Arabidopsis thaliana: one gene and its partner. The protein of the gene in region 2 interacts with the protein of the main gene of each other region in a pairwise test. Each region holds a gene or a part of one and is shown on either strand. Other genes may lie near its edges.

Evidence for each region.
Region 1: the proteins of NF-YB8 (region 2) and NF-YC5 interact in a two-hybrid assay, tested with the Arabidopsis thaliana proteins (one large-scale study listed by BioGRID).

What each region holds. Positions count from the first base shown.
Region 1 is NC_003076.8:20,559,934-20,564,270, forward strand, and holds NF-YC5 (nuclear factor Y, subunit C5), read right to left. Parts: upstream 1,296-4,337; 5' UTR 1,238-1,295; coding exon 677-1,237; 3' UTR 501-676; downstream 1-500. Other genes in the region: AT5G50500 (uncharacterized protein), read right to left, coding at 2,217-2,624. UniProt on the Arabidopsis thaliana protein: Stimulates the transcription of various genes by recognizing and binding to a CCAAT motif in promoters.
Region 2 is NC_003071.7:15,573,476-15,579,749, reverse strand, and holds NF-YB8 (nuclear factor Y, subunit B8), read right to left. Parts: upstream 3,755-6,274; 5' UTR 3,586-3,754; intron 3,439-3,585; 5' UTR 3,415-3,438; coding exon 3,188-3,414; intron 2,935-3,187; coding exon 2,805-2,934; intron 2,681-2,804; coding exon 2,675-2,680; intron 2,529-2,674; coding exon 2,454-2,528; intron 2,331-2,453; coding exon 2,289-2,330; intron 2,132-2,288; coding exon 2,090-2,131; 3' UTR 1,834-2,089; downstream 1-1,833. Other genes in the region: AT2G37070 (TRIO/F-actin-binding protein), read right to left, coding at 1-35, 122-159, 587-793, 877-1,044, 1,203-1,335; AT2G37050 (Leucine-rich repeat protein kinase family protein), read right to left, coding at 6,273-6,274. UniProt on the Arabidopsis thaliana protein: Component of the NF-Y/HAP transcription factor complex. The NF-Y complex stimulates the transcription of various genes by recognizing and binding to a CCAAT motif in promoters.

The sequences.
Region 1 (4,337 bases), on a different chromosome or scaffold from region 2:
GAGAAATATATAGAAATGATAATTAGAAAAAACAAAAACAAAAATAATTCAATTAATAACTTCCTCATAAGAGTTCGCTAAAACCGCGCTAAAATTTCTTGAAAGACAAAATTCAAATAAATCGTTTGTGCGCCAAATTCCGTTGGAAAACAAAGAATAAGAACGAAAAATGAGTTGGAAAATTTTTAAAATAGATTCAGGTTTCAAAATAAGTTTTTTTTGCTAGATCTCTGGATCTTGTTGCCTCTAGAATGTAATCTAACAAAAAGCTGCAAACACAAAAGAGTCTTGACAAGTAAAAGTGATTAAAAAAAAAAGAAATAGCCGAATAAACATCCTTGTTTACAGTACCCTATCTCTTATGAAATAGATTATAATATATGATTCTTTTCTACTCTCATAAGGAATCACTAGAAGATTATGTTTCCATGGGTAAACTGAGGACTTTTTTATCCGTAATCCTTGTGTTTTTGTATGCATAAATTAATCTAAAGCCAATATTCATAAACCATTAGATTCATTTGAAAGACAACAACAGAAATACATTCTTTTTTTTTTTTGGACAAAACAACAGAAATACATTCAACAACTAAAAAACATAACATTGAAAACATAAGCAGAACTCAAAAAGAAATTCAAGTTCTCACAACAGCGGTTACAAAACCCAATCCAAATATTAATTCCCACCGTTTCCTCCATTTGCCCCAGTCGCATCCTCCTCGGTCCAAGCTCCAGGCATCTGCGGGTGTGGCGCGTGTATTCCTAAACCGTAACAAACCGGAGTTCCTATCACCGTTCCCGGCGGCAGTTCTTCATTGTTAAGATCTGGCACAGCCACATGATCAGCAACATCGTCCACAGGATCAGCAGCGGCGACAACGGGCTCTCCCTCGTCCTTAGGGACATCATCACGCAAGAAATCAAAGATGACGGTTTGAGACACTACGGCATCAACATCAGATTTCCGTATCGTGAGTCGGTTGCTCTCTTGAGCATGGAGCCATGAACGCATCGTGAGGTCCATGACAAACATTTCACAAGCCTTAGATAAGAGATTTGGAGCCTCAGCAGCGATCATACTCACATCCGGATCAAACTTCATTATCCTCTTGATACGAGAGATGGGGAACTCGTGATTCTTGACATTCAAGTCACCTTCCATCCCCTTTGACCAGAAACTCTTTAGTTGCTCGTTATCTTTCGGTGGCTGTTGGTGGTTGTTGTTGTTGTTCTCCATTTTTTTTTTGTTTGAAGTGTTTGGGTTTGAGATATTTTTATGTGGAGGTTTGCATATATAAAGGAAAATTAAGCGTATATAAGATATGGTAGGATAAGATTAAGAAGTGATCTCTTTACATATATGAATCTCAACCTATTTAGTAGTTTGTTAAGAATATTTAATGTTATTAACTGTATGTGTGTGACTGACAGACTTGTGGTTGGTATTATAAGAAGAAAAAAGAAAGAGATTTGTTTTTACTTAAAGTGTATATTATATACCAAATAATAGTCTTATAAAAATGAAACAAAAAAAAAAATACCTTTTTCTCTATAAAATTGAAAGTTAAAATTTTGCTGTACAAAACTTAGTTTTGAATATCTTGTTAAAAATGATGTTTTCAAATGTTAAATGTGAAAGCATAATTTGCTCAAAATTTTAAGAGAATTTTAATAAGAATTTGCTCATGATGTTAAATTGAATTTTACTTAATTTACATTGGTTCAAATTAATGTATGAAACGATATATAACAATAATATATGAATGTACAAAGTACAAATCCTGTAGTCCCTCTAAAAGTTAAATTTTGGTTATTTCTCTAATTATTTGATTTGTTAACATGAGGAGGTAGACACTCAAGAGAGAATCTCACATTTTGATGTTTAACTGCAAAATAAAAGAGAGATCATTAATAAATATGTTAGTAAATTTTGTCAAACAAAATATTAAATTTAAATAAAAAGTGACCAGTTTGGAGTTGGATTGTTCCAAAAAGTGAACAGTTTGGAGTTAAACAAGAGTAGCCGTTTTATTTTGGCGCCTCCTTCTTCAAGATATTACTGCATTACTCCTCCATAACCACATTATCAGTTTCATCACTCCTCAGTAGCACCAAAACTCTTGTGTGGAGAAGAGGAAACACACCTTTCAATACTCAGTTTGATTATACTCGTAGCCTTTCGAACCAATGCACTTCAAAGCCTATTTGGCGAAATCTCAAGTCTTATCACATCTATAGACTTGAGATTTTCCCAAATAGGCTTTGAAGTGCATTGGTTCGAAAACATAAATGGTGGAAAGAGATAGATGGTTTTTGCACAAAGTTCGATAAATATCAATCTTGAAATTCAAAAACCAAAGATATCGTTTCCCCTTAAGATCAGATCTCGAAGTCTTAGATAAGGAATCCATAAAACTTGTTAAAAGAGTACTACTCCTAAACAAACAACTCATGCAGGAAGCTTTGCGCGGGTGTTGGAACTTGTTTTTGATGAAGTGGTTGTGGCCACTTTTCCGGTGAAGACGTTCATCGGAATGACCGGTTTTTCGGCACAATAGAATCATTGTTGCAAGCACTACGCGGACCGTGGTGGTGCATTGGAATGTCAAAAATGAAGTTATCATTTGAATGAGAAATGAAGGTCCAAAATAGCTGCCTTGGTATATAATATACAGTAAGTAAGAGGAGAAATCCAAACATACATGGGTTGGGTTTGAGATTTGAGAGTTGGGAAATGGGCTTACAACCAATAAAAAATATCTACCTTAATGATAGAGTTTTGTAACAACAACAAAAAATCAGTTATGACAATTAAGGTCAGAAAACGTTTTTGACATTGTTGTGAGAATCAAAATCTCATAAATTTTCGTTAAGGTGAGATCACCTCATGAATATATATACGTTGAGCTTGGGCTATGTAAGTCAAGTCATTGTCTTCTCCTTCTCTTCATAAGATCACAAACATCAAAATTCCTCTCTTCTCTCTTCTTCTTTTGTTTGGGTCTGAGAGTGTAACACAAGACTAGTATTCGTTCGGCTTTTGATTTTGAGTGTTGCCAATGAAAAGAGATAACAATTTTCTCATGCGACTCTAATCGTCATTAAACCCTCGCACTACGAGGAGATGTTTGAGTTATAAAGGAGAGATCATCAAAGCTCTCGACTCTGTTAAGCACCGTCAATCTCCGTTCCTCAATCATCTTTTTGGTATTGTTGAATTTCATTACCTGTTCTATATTAGTTGCTTTAAGTATTAGGTAGTGTCTATGTTAAAATATTCGTCGTACAAAATCTAGTGGTGGGAATTAACAAAAAAAAATAAAAAATCTAGTTGTGGGTTTTATTTTTCTATTTTTGTTCAACCATTATCTATCTTCTAAAATAGTTATGGTCTACTCTCAAAGAACAAGGTTGCGTATAATGTAAACATGGTTTTTTTGATGACTAAATGTAACATTTATACAAAAAAAAATATTTGGAGAAATTGTTTCAGCATTGTTACAAAATTAGAACTTATATTGTTGCAATTTTAGGAATTTTAATTTTCCAATCAATTTGTCTATTTTGAAAGATCTTGTGGCACTATTTTGACGAAGATAAGATGGAAAAGGATGATCAATAGCGGAAAGAAAGAGCAAAAGGAAGAGCAAAATGGAAATGGATGACCTTCTGGATCATTTTCACCTCCTTTACCTATAAGCAACTGAAAAGCAACTTGATGTGAGAACCTGAATAGTTCTTTCCTTGGGTATGTCCTTAGATTTTGATGGCGACGGTGGTATGCATTGGTCCATAAGGTTGTCTCTCAAGAACCTTTCAAGTTGAGTATATATTGGCTTAGTGGTGAGAAAAATGGATATGTGGGTTTATTGAAGAAGTAGATTGATTCAGGGTATTACAGGATGAGTGGATGCTTCTCAATTGGGAAACATATAAGCAACGACTCTCTCAACTCGTTCTCACATAGAGTTGATGTGGACAATAGGTAACAAAGGATAATGCACATATATCCTAAAAAATGCAATATTTTGGCTCTTTATGCAAACTGGTCACTATCTTGGAATATTTCAACTTCTTTAGAAGAAATGAACAAGTATGAAATGGTAGAAGTGCTTCAAGATTTTGAGGAAGAGTGAGCTGTGACGGTTGTGCCGCTTGTTAAACTCATGGGATTTACAACTTACAACTTTATTTTTAAGTCACAATCGTCAAACATTCTTTTTCATTGAAATCTTGAGGCACTTCATACTTGTCCACAACTTCTTGGGGAGTTAAAATATCATGTGACCAATTTGCATAAAGAGCCAAAATATTGCCTTTTGTCGCTTATATGTGCA
Region 2 (6,274 bases):
ATACCTGGCCTTTTACGAATAGGATTGGGTTTCATCTGAGAAAAAAATCAAAACAAAGACATGGTTAATCAGGGAGGGGGTGCAAGATTAATCCATAGCTTAAAGTTGTTTTGGCACTTACCTTTTCCTCAGAGCTAGGGTCGTCTAGTGTACTTGTAGCTACAAATTTCAAATGAGAAAAGTAAAAAAGATGGTCATTTTGAGATTCATAGATAACGGAAATTAAATAGGTTTCAATCATATACAGTTTCAAACAGTACTTCCTATAGTAAAATATAAACTACCATACAGATCATTAGCTAGATACAATCAACGAAAATGATGGGATCACTTAGAATCTCAGGATAGATCACACTAGATGCGAGCTGGCTGAGGAGCCATAAAGAGAATCATACAATGTAAAAGCTTCATCATCAACAAGATCTTACTAGTGACCAAAAGCACAACAACTTGCTAGAAATAAGATATCATGTTCAATAAAAAAAAAAACCATTCTGCTAAACTAAAGCTCTTTCTACACCAAAACAATAGACAGAGATGCAAATAAACAGAACCTTATAAATCCGCTTATGGAAACAAAGCTTACTTGGGCTAGGTACTGCCTCTGTTGATCCCAAGTCCTTACGCTTGTCAGGTGTTGCAGCATCACACATAAAAAATTCCTGACCAGTCTCCACAGTGCAGTCACTTTTCAATGTAGACATAGACTCTGTTGATCTATGCAAATCCTCTTGAACCGCTGGTAAACTTTTCCTCCCCATCATGCTAGACAGTTCATCCGGTTCCAAAACACCTAAATGCGCCAACTTATCTCAGCAAAACTAACTACTACTAAATAACAAATCCACAGAACACAGCCACTAAAAAAATACTTGCCTGCATTGGTGAAAAAGGCTTTGTCCCAAGCAAGACTTTTGCGTAGGTTAGTCTTCATGATCTTATGAGGCTCCTTCTCTTCTAAAGTAGTAGAGCCCAAAGTCTCTTCATCACAACAATTATGTGTATCTCCAAATAAACAAAGACCTCTGTCTTCCTTATCAGTATCTGAATCCATCATCATCATAAAAAAATCTAATCAAGCTTTAAAAAATCTATAAATCCCCACAATGAACAATCATGAACCAAATCACACAATTCACAAGTTTCCCAGGAAAATCTTCAGCTAACAATTTCCAGAAATTGGAGATGGAAATTGAAATAACCTGAGAAATCAAAGGTGGTGGGATCGAGAAAGGAAGAGAGGAGGAGGTTATCATCCTCGGCGGAGAAATCAATCAGACTAAGCCCATTGATATCGTCGAGCTCGCTTCTCCAGTTCTCCTTCTCTTCTCCCATAGACAAACCACACAGATTCAATAAGAAGAAAAATCAAACAAGCTTTATCGCATAAAAGATGAAAGAATTTGAAACGAAGCAAATCGGCGGTTTCTTATTTATTAATATTTAATCAATTTTCTTTGTTAATTTTTGAGTTTTTTTTTTTGTCTTAAGTCTTTTGACAGAAGTGAGCCCGAAATGAACGTGATCCGTTGATTTGTAAATTTGTGACCGTTGGATTATTCCCGTTTTTTTTGTAGAAACGATATGTTAAAAAAGAATCTCTAATTTGGTTTAACAGATAACGCCGCGATTACAACAACTGTAACCAAATAAACAACAATAAGCATCTAATTTTGCTTTCGTTACTACTAAAAGACTAAAGATAATGCAGGCGATATAAACATAAAATCTAGGGTTCTTACTATTTTAGGTAAGGGTTGTTTAACAGATTCTGGATCTTACTACGTTATCGATGGTGAACATTTTCCAAATAAGTATTCATTTGTTCTCATTCTTGTATGAAATCTTTGTTAAAATCAGAATTCATTCTTTAGACCGGTGTTGAAATAATCAACAAACCAAATATATAAATAGACTGACTGACTTGATGACATATTCAGAACAAATCCAAGGAAACAAAAACAAAACAAAACAATGAGATGATTATAGTCACAAGTTCTGCATAGCAAAACTCTTACAACACAAATAATATACAGATAAGATAACCTCTTTTGGTGGAACATAACCAAAGTTGAATACTCCTCTCATACTAGTCTGTTCCCGGCATTGGAACCATCATATGCTGCTGAGCCTACAATTATACCGAGTCCAATGTCAAATTAGTTCACAGATTTTGAGGTATTCATAGATTATAACATAAGTGATGCTTTACAAGTTTTCAATTCTTAACAAATTAGAAGAGAATGATGCGTATTGCTTGAGTGTGAAGAGAAGAGAGGAAAAGTTACTTGAGAGTTCCCATAAGGACCTTGGTGAGCAAGCTGCGAGAACTGCCAAATGGTAAACAAACCCCATGAATGTCAGACTAACTTAGCTAAAGCGGAAGAGAGAATACGTGCAGATGAATGCGAAGACGAAAAAATGGTCAAAGGCATGAGATTTGAGACATATACCTGGCCATTTTGGCTTGATTGCCCATCTTTCTTTGCATTTGGATCCCCACCTTTTGCTGATCCCTTTGTGTCACCCTATTGATCATTGAAAAGGATAAGGAAAGCATAAATAGTTTGATACATAAGTTGACAAAAAGAGATGATTCACGGAAGCCATAAAGATCATAGATCGTTGCAAGTTTTAGGAATGAACAAGAAATAGAATAAGAAGAACCACTGACCTCCATCTGTGATATTCCAGTTCACGTAGTAGAGCAAGAAAAGGAAAAGGAGAAACAGAGTAAGTTAGTGAAATTCAAAAACTCTCTTCACACAACAGCATAACTAATAAACATCGTACTCAGAACATACCTCTCTATATCTCATCAGGTAAACCTTGAGAGGTTCCATGTAGTCTTCAAATCCTAAAGTAGCCATTGCCCAAAGCAAATCATCTCCATTAATAGTCTTCCTTTTCTCTCTTTGACATTTATCACTCGCTCTGCTCATCAACGTCATAGAAAAACCATTGCATCATCAAATATGCAACATCAAAGCCAAACAAAGATGAACAACAAGAAAGAGTAACCAATGTAAGGACTAAAAAGGCCTCAACTTTCACTAGTTAAGAAAAACCCAAAAATCACTATAAAGTTTAAGACTTGAAACTAAAACTCAAAGTTCCTATCAAGCCTCTAAACATTCAGCAAGAGCAAACACAACATAGCATTGTTAAAAGGTTAAAAAAGACATACTCGCTGGTGACGAAACTGATGAATTCAGAGACACATTCCTGCACAATCTCCTTAGCATCTTTAGCGATTTTCCCATTAGCAGGAAGACCTCTTTTCATGATACGGCTTATGTTAGCAATCGGAAGAAACCTATCTTGCTCACGAACATGTAACGACCTGGGACTTTGATCTCCACCACTCTCATGGCTTCCACAGCCTCCGGGACTCTTGGCCTGCGACTCCGCCATCTCAGAAAGAAAAAAAAACCCTAACTTTACAACAATTAACACAAAATAGACAAAACCCATCAACAGAAAACGAAGAAAATCAGAGACAAAACACATCCTAATAAGATATGAAAAGGGGAAAATTGAAATGAAGCAATGAATCAGAGAAGTTGAGAGAGAAGATTGATTTACCAGAAGAATTCGAAAAAGGGCGGGAGTGAAACAGAGAGGTGTTTGTTGATTGGAGGAAGAGAGGAGGCAGAGAGGGAGAGAGATCGAGAGAAGAGGAGAGATTGATCGGACGCTTGAGAAAAGAAGAGAGATGACAACGTCTGCGATTGAGAGATTAGGTTTTCACTTTTATCAGCACCGTTCGTTTTTTTTTTAATCTCTTTATTTATTTTCTCTCTGGTTCATATTCTACCAAATCCAGAAACGCCACGTGTATTCATTATCTTTAACCATTAAGGGGAACTTTATTATTATTCAATCCCTTTATATAAGTTTACTTTTATTCATTTTTATTAAATTTTGATTTTTGATACATTTTCTTATTGTATAGTAGGGAAAGTAATTTTTTTTTTTCGAAAACTTATTAGGGTTTTAAAAGTTATTTAAGAATTCAATTAACTATAAACATTTTAAAATTTACAAATTTTCCTAAAATACAAGAAATAGGTAAAATCTATAAACAATTACGAAAATATTTGTGATCATTTTAATATTTTTAAAACTTCTACTATTTTATGAAAATAAACAGAAAACAATAATTTAGAGAGAGGAAATGTATCTGAGTCATATTAAAATATTTAGTTTCTTAATACACAAGCTAAGTACATATATCTTTCAAATATAACTATTTTCCTTGTAAAAAATGCATCTATATCAAACACACTTAAGGCAATAACTAAAGTCTTCTTTTCTCACTTCTTTACCAGCTTCATTTTTGTTAATCATATTTATCAAAGTTAATTAATTATTTTTATATATAGGTATTACGTTTTGGATATTAACATTATATATATATTAAAAAAATTTAACTACCAAAATTATGTTTTGATTGATAACACAATAATGACACTAACACAATTTACTAGATTACACATTATAATCAACCTATTTTTTGTAGGGCATATTTTTGTTCTAAATTATTTTTTAAGTTTTGCTTTAATTTTGCTTAATTTATTATTAAACTTTAAACATTGATTTTTTTTATATGTATAATATTTTTTAAAAATATTAAAGCATATTTTTCGCCTATGACATCAAAATTAGCACGGCTCTAGACACCAGTAGCAAAATAGGCATATGCACCGAATCAAAGTATCAGCTCTGCTCTTATGTTACCTCATGTTTCTTCTTCCGCTCAATGAAAACAACTACAGATCGCGAGGCGGATTATAGCGGATTCGGCCGATAGGCTTCCCTCCTTGTAATATGTATGTCGGCCATCCTGTGGTTTCAAGGTTCTCGGGAGCAGCCTCAGTAGTCTCTACGAAGAGATTATTGTAACCTGCGGAAGCTGAAGATACAAGACACTGGATGAAGTCAATATCACCTTCGATGTTGTTAGAGATGAGGATAATATTGGATTCTGTAGGATAGTCCACAGGAGTGTCCATTTCCCACAAAAGAACGTCTACATGTATGACATATGGAAGAAAGAGATCTTACTGGAGAAATCTTCACTCATGGTTTCGACTGAGATCACGATATAGAATTGGGAGAGAAGAAAAGAAAAACATAGAGCAAAACGGAGAACGCGTGCATAAACAAAGATAAAATAAAAAATAGATCACGCAGTAATATTGTCGACACCTTGTGAGCTTACGCTTTGGTCCATAGGCGGCTTTCCTCCATCTAATAGGCTTGTACAATCAGATACTGAGCTTGAAGTAGGAAACACCTTTTCTGTATCATGAGGCTGTACCAAGAGAACATTGGACTCCACTTTCTCAGTATCAGTATCATGTACCAAGAGACCATTGGACTCCACTTTCTCAGTATCAGTATCCTGTACCAAGAGAACATTGGACTCTTCTTTCTCAGTATCTGTATAGTCAGTATCAGTTTCCCAGCTAGTACAAGAAGAAGTATAGTCAACAATTTCTTCTATAGGCTTTTCTCCATTTAAAAACCTTGTACATTCAGATATGGACTCTGGAGTATGAAATAGCTTTTCTAATGGGGCCTCATCATCAGGCTGTACCAAGAGAACATTGATCAAACTTCTCGATTCCAAAGCCCAAAGAACCCTGATCGGCCTCCTTGTTTTCAAGGTTTTTTTTTTGAGATTACCAACATATTTTTTGGCTTATAAGCACTGAGAAAAACATCCCATATCATTAAATCAATGTTTTAAAAAAAATATAGTTATAGATTATAGTGTTTAAATTCATGTTCTATAATTTTAGCGTAAATTTTTTAGAATAACATGTATTTATCAGAATTATGTTTTCAAAACGTAAAATAAAAGTGTACACCATTCAAGCCCTTTATTAACCTACTGTATCATGAGAAGTAACTCGTGGGTTTGGTTTGACCACTACTAACACAACTGCGCCTGAATCTCGAATGTGTCAATAACCTATAGAACTTATTTCTACGAGAGCATAAACATCATCCTATATAATCAGTTGAAAATGTGAAAATCAGTTAAAAGAAAACATAATATATCACAATCCCACATAAATCACCGAGTTAGTCTGAAAACAATAAAAGAAAAACAAACAAACTCGAAGCACTTCTTGTAACCTCGAGTCCAAAAGAAAGAAAAAAAAGTAGTGTTAAGCTCAAAACTAATAACTAAAGACCAGAGACAATGTGAAAGGTCAAAAACACAAGCAAGTAATGCATCTGTACAAACAAAGCCGAATCTACT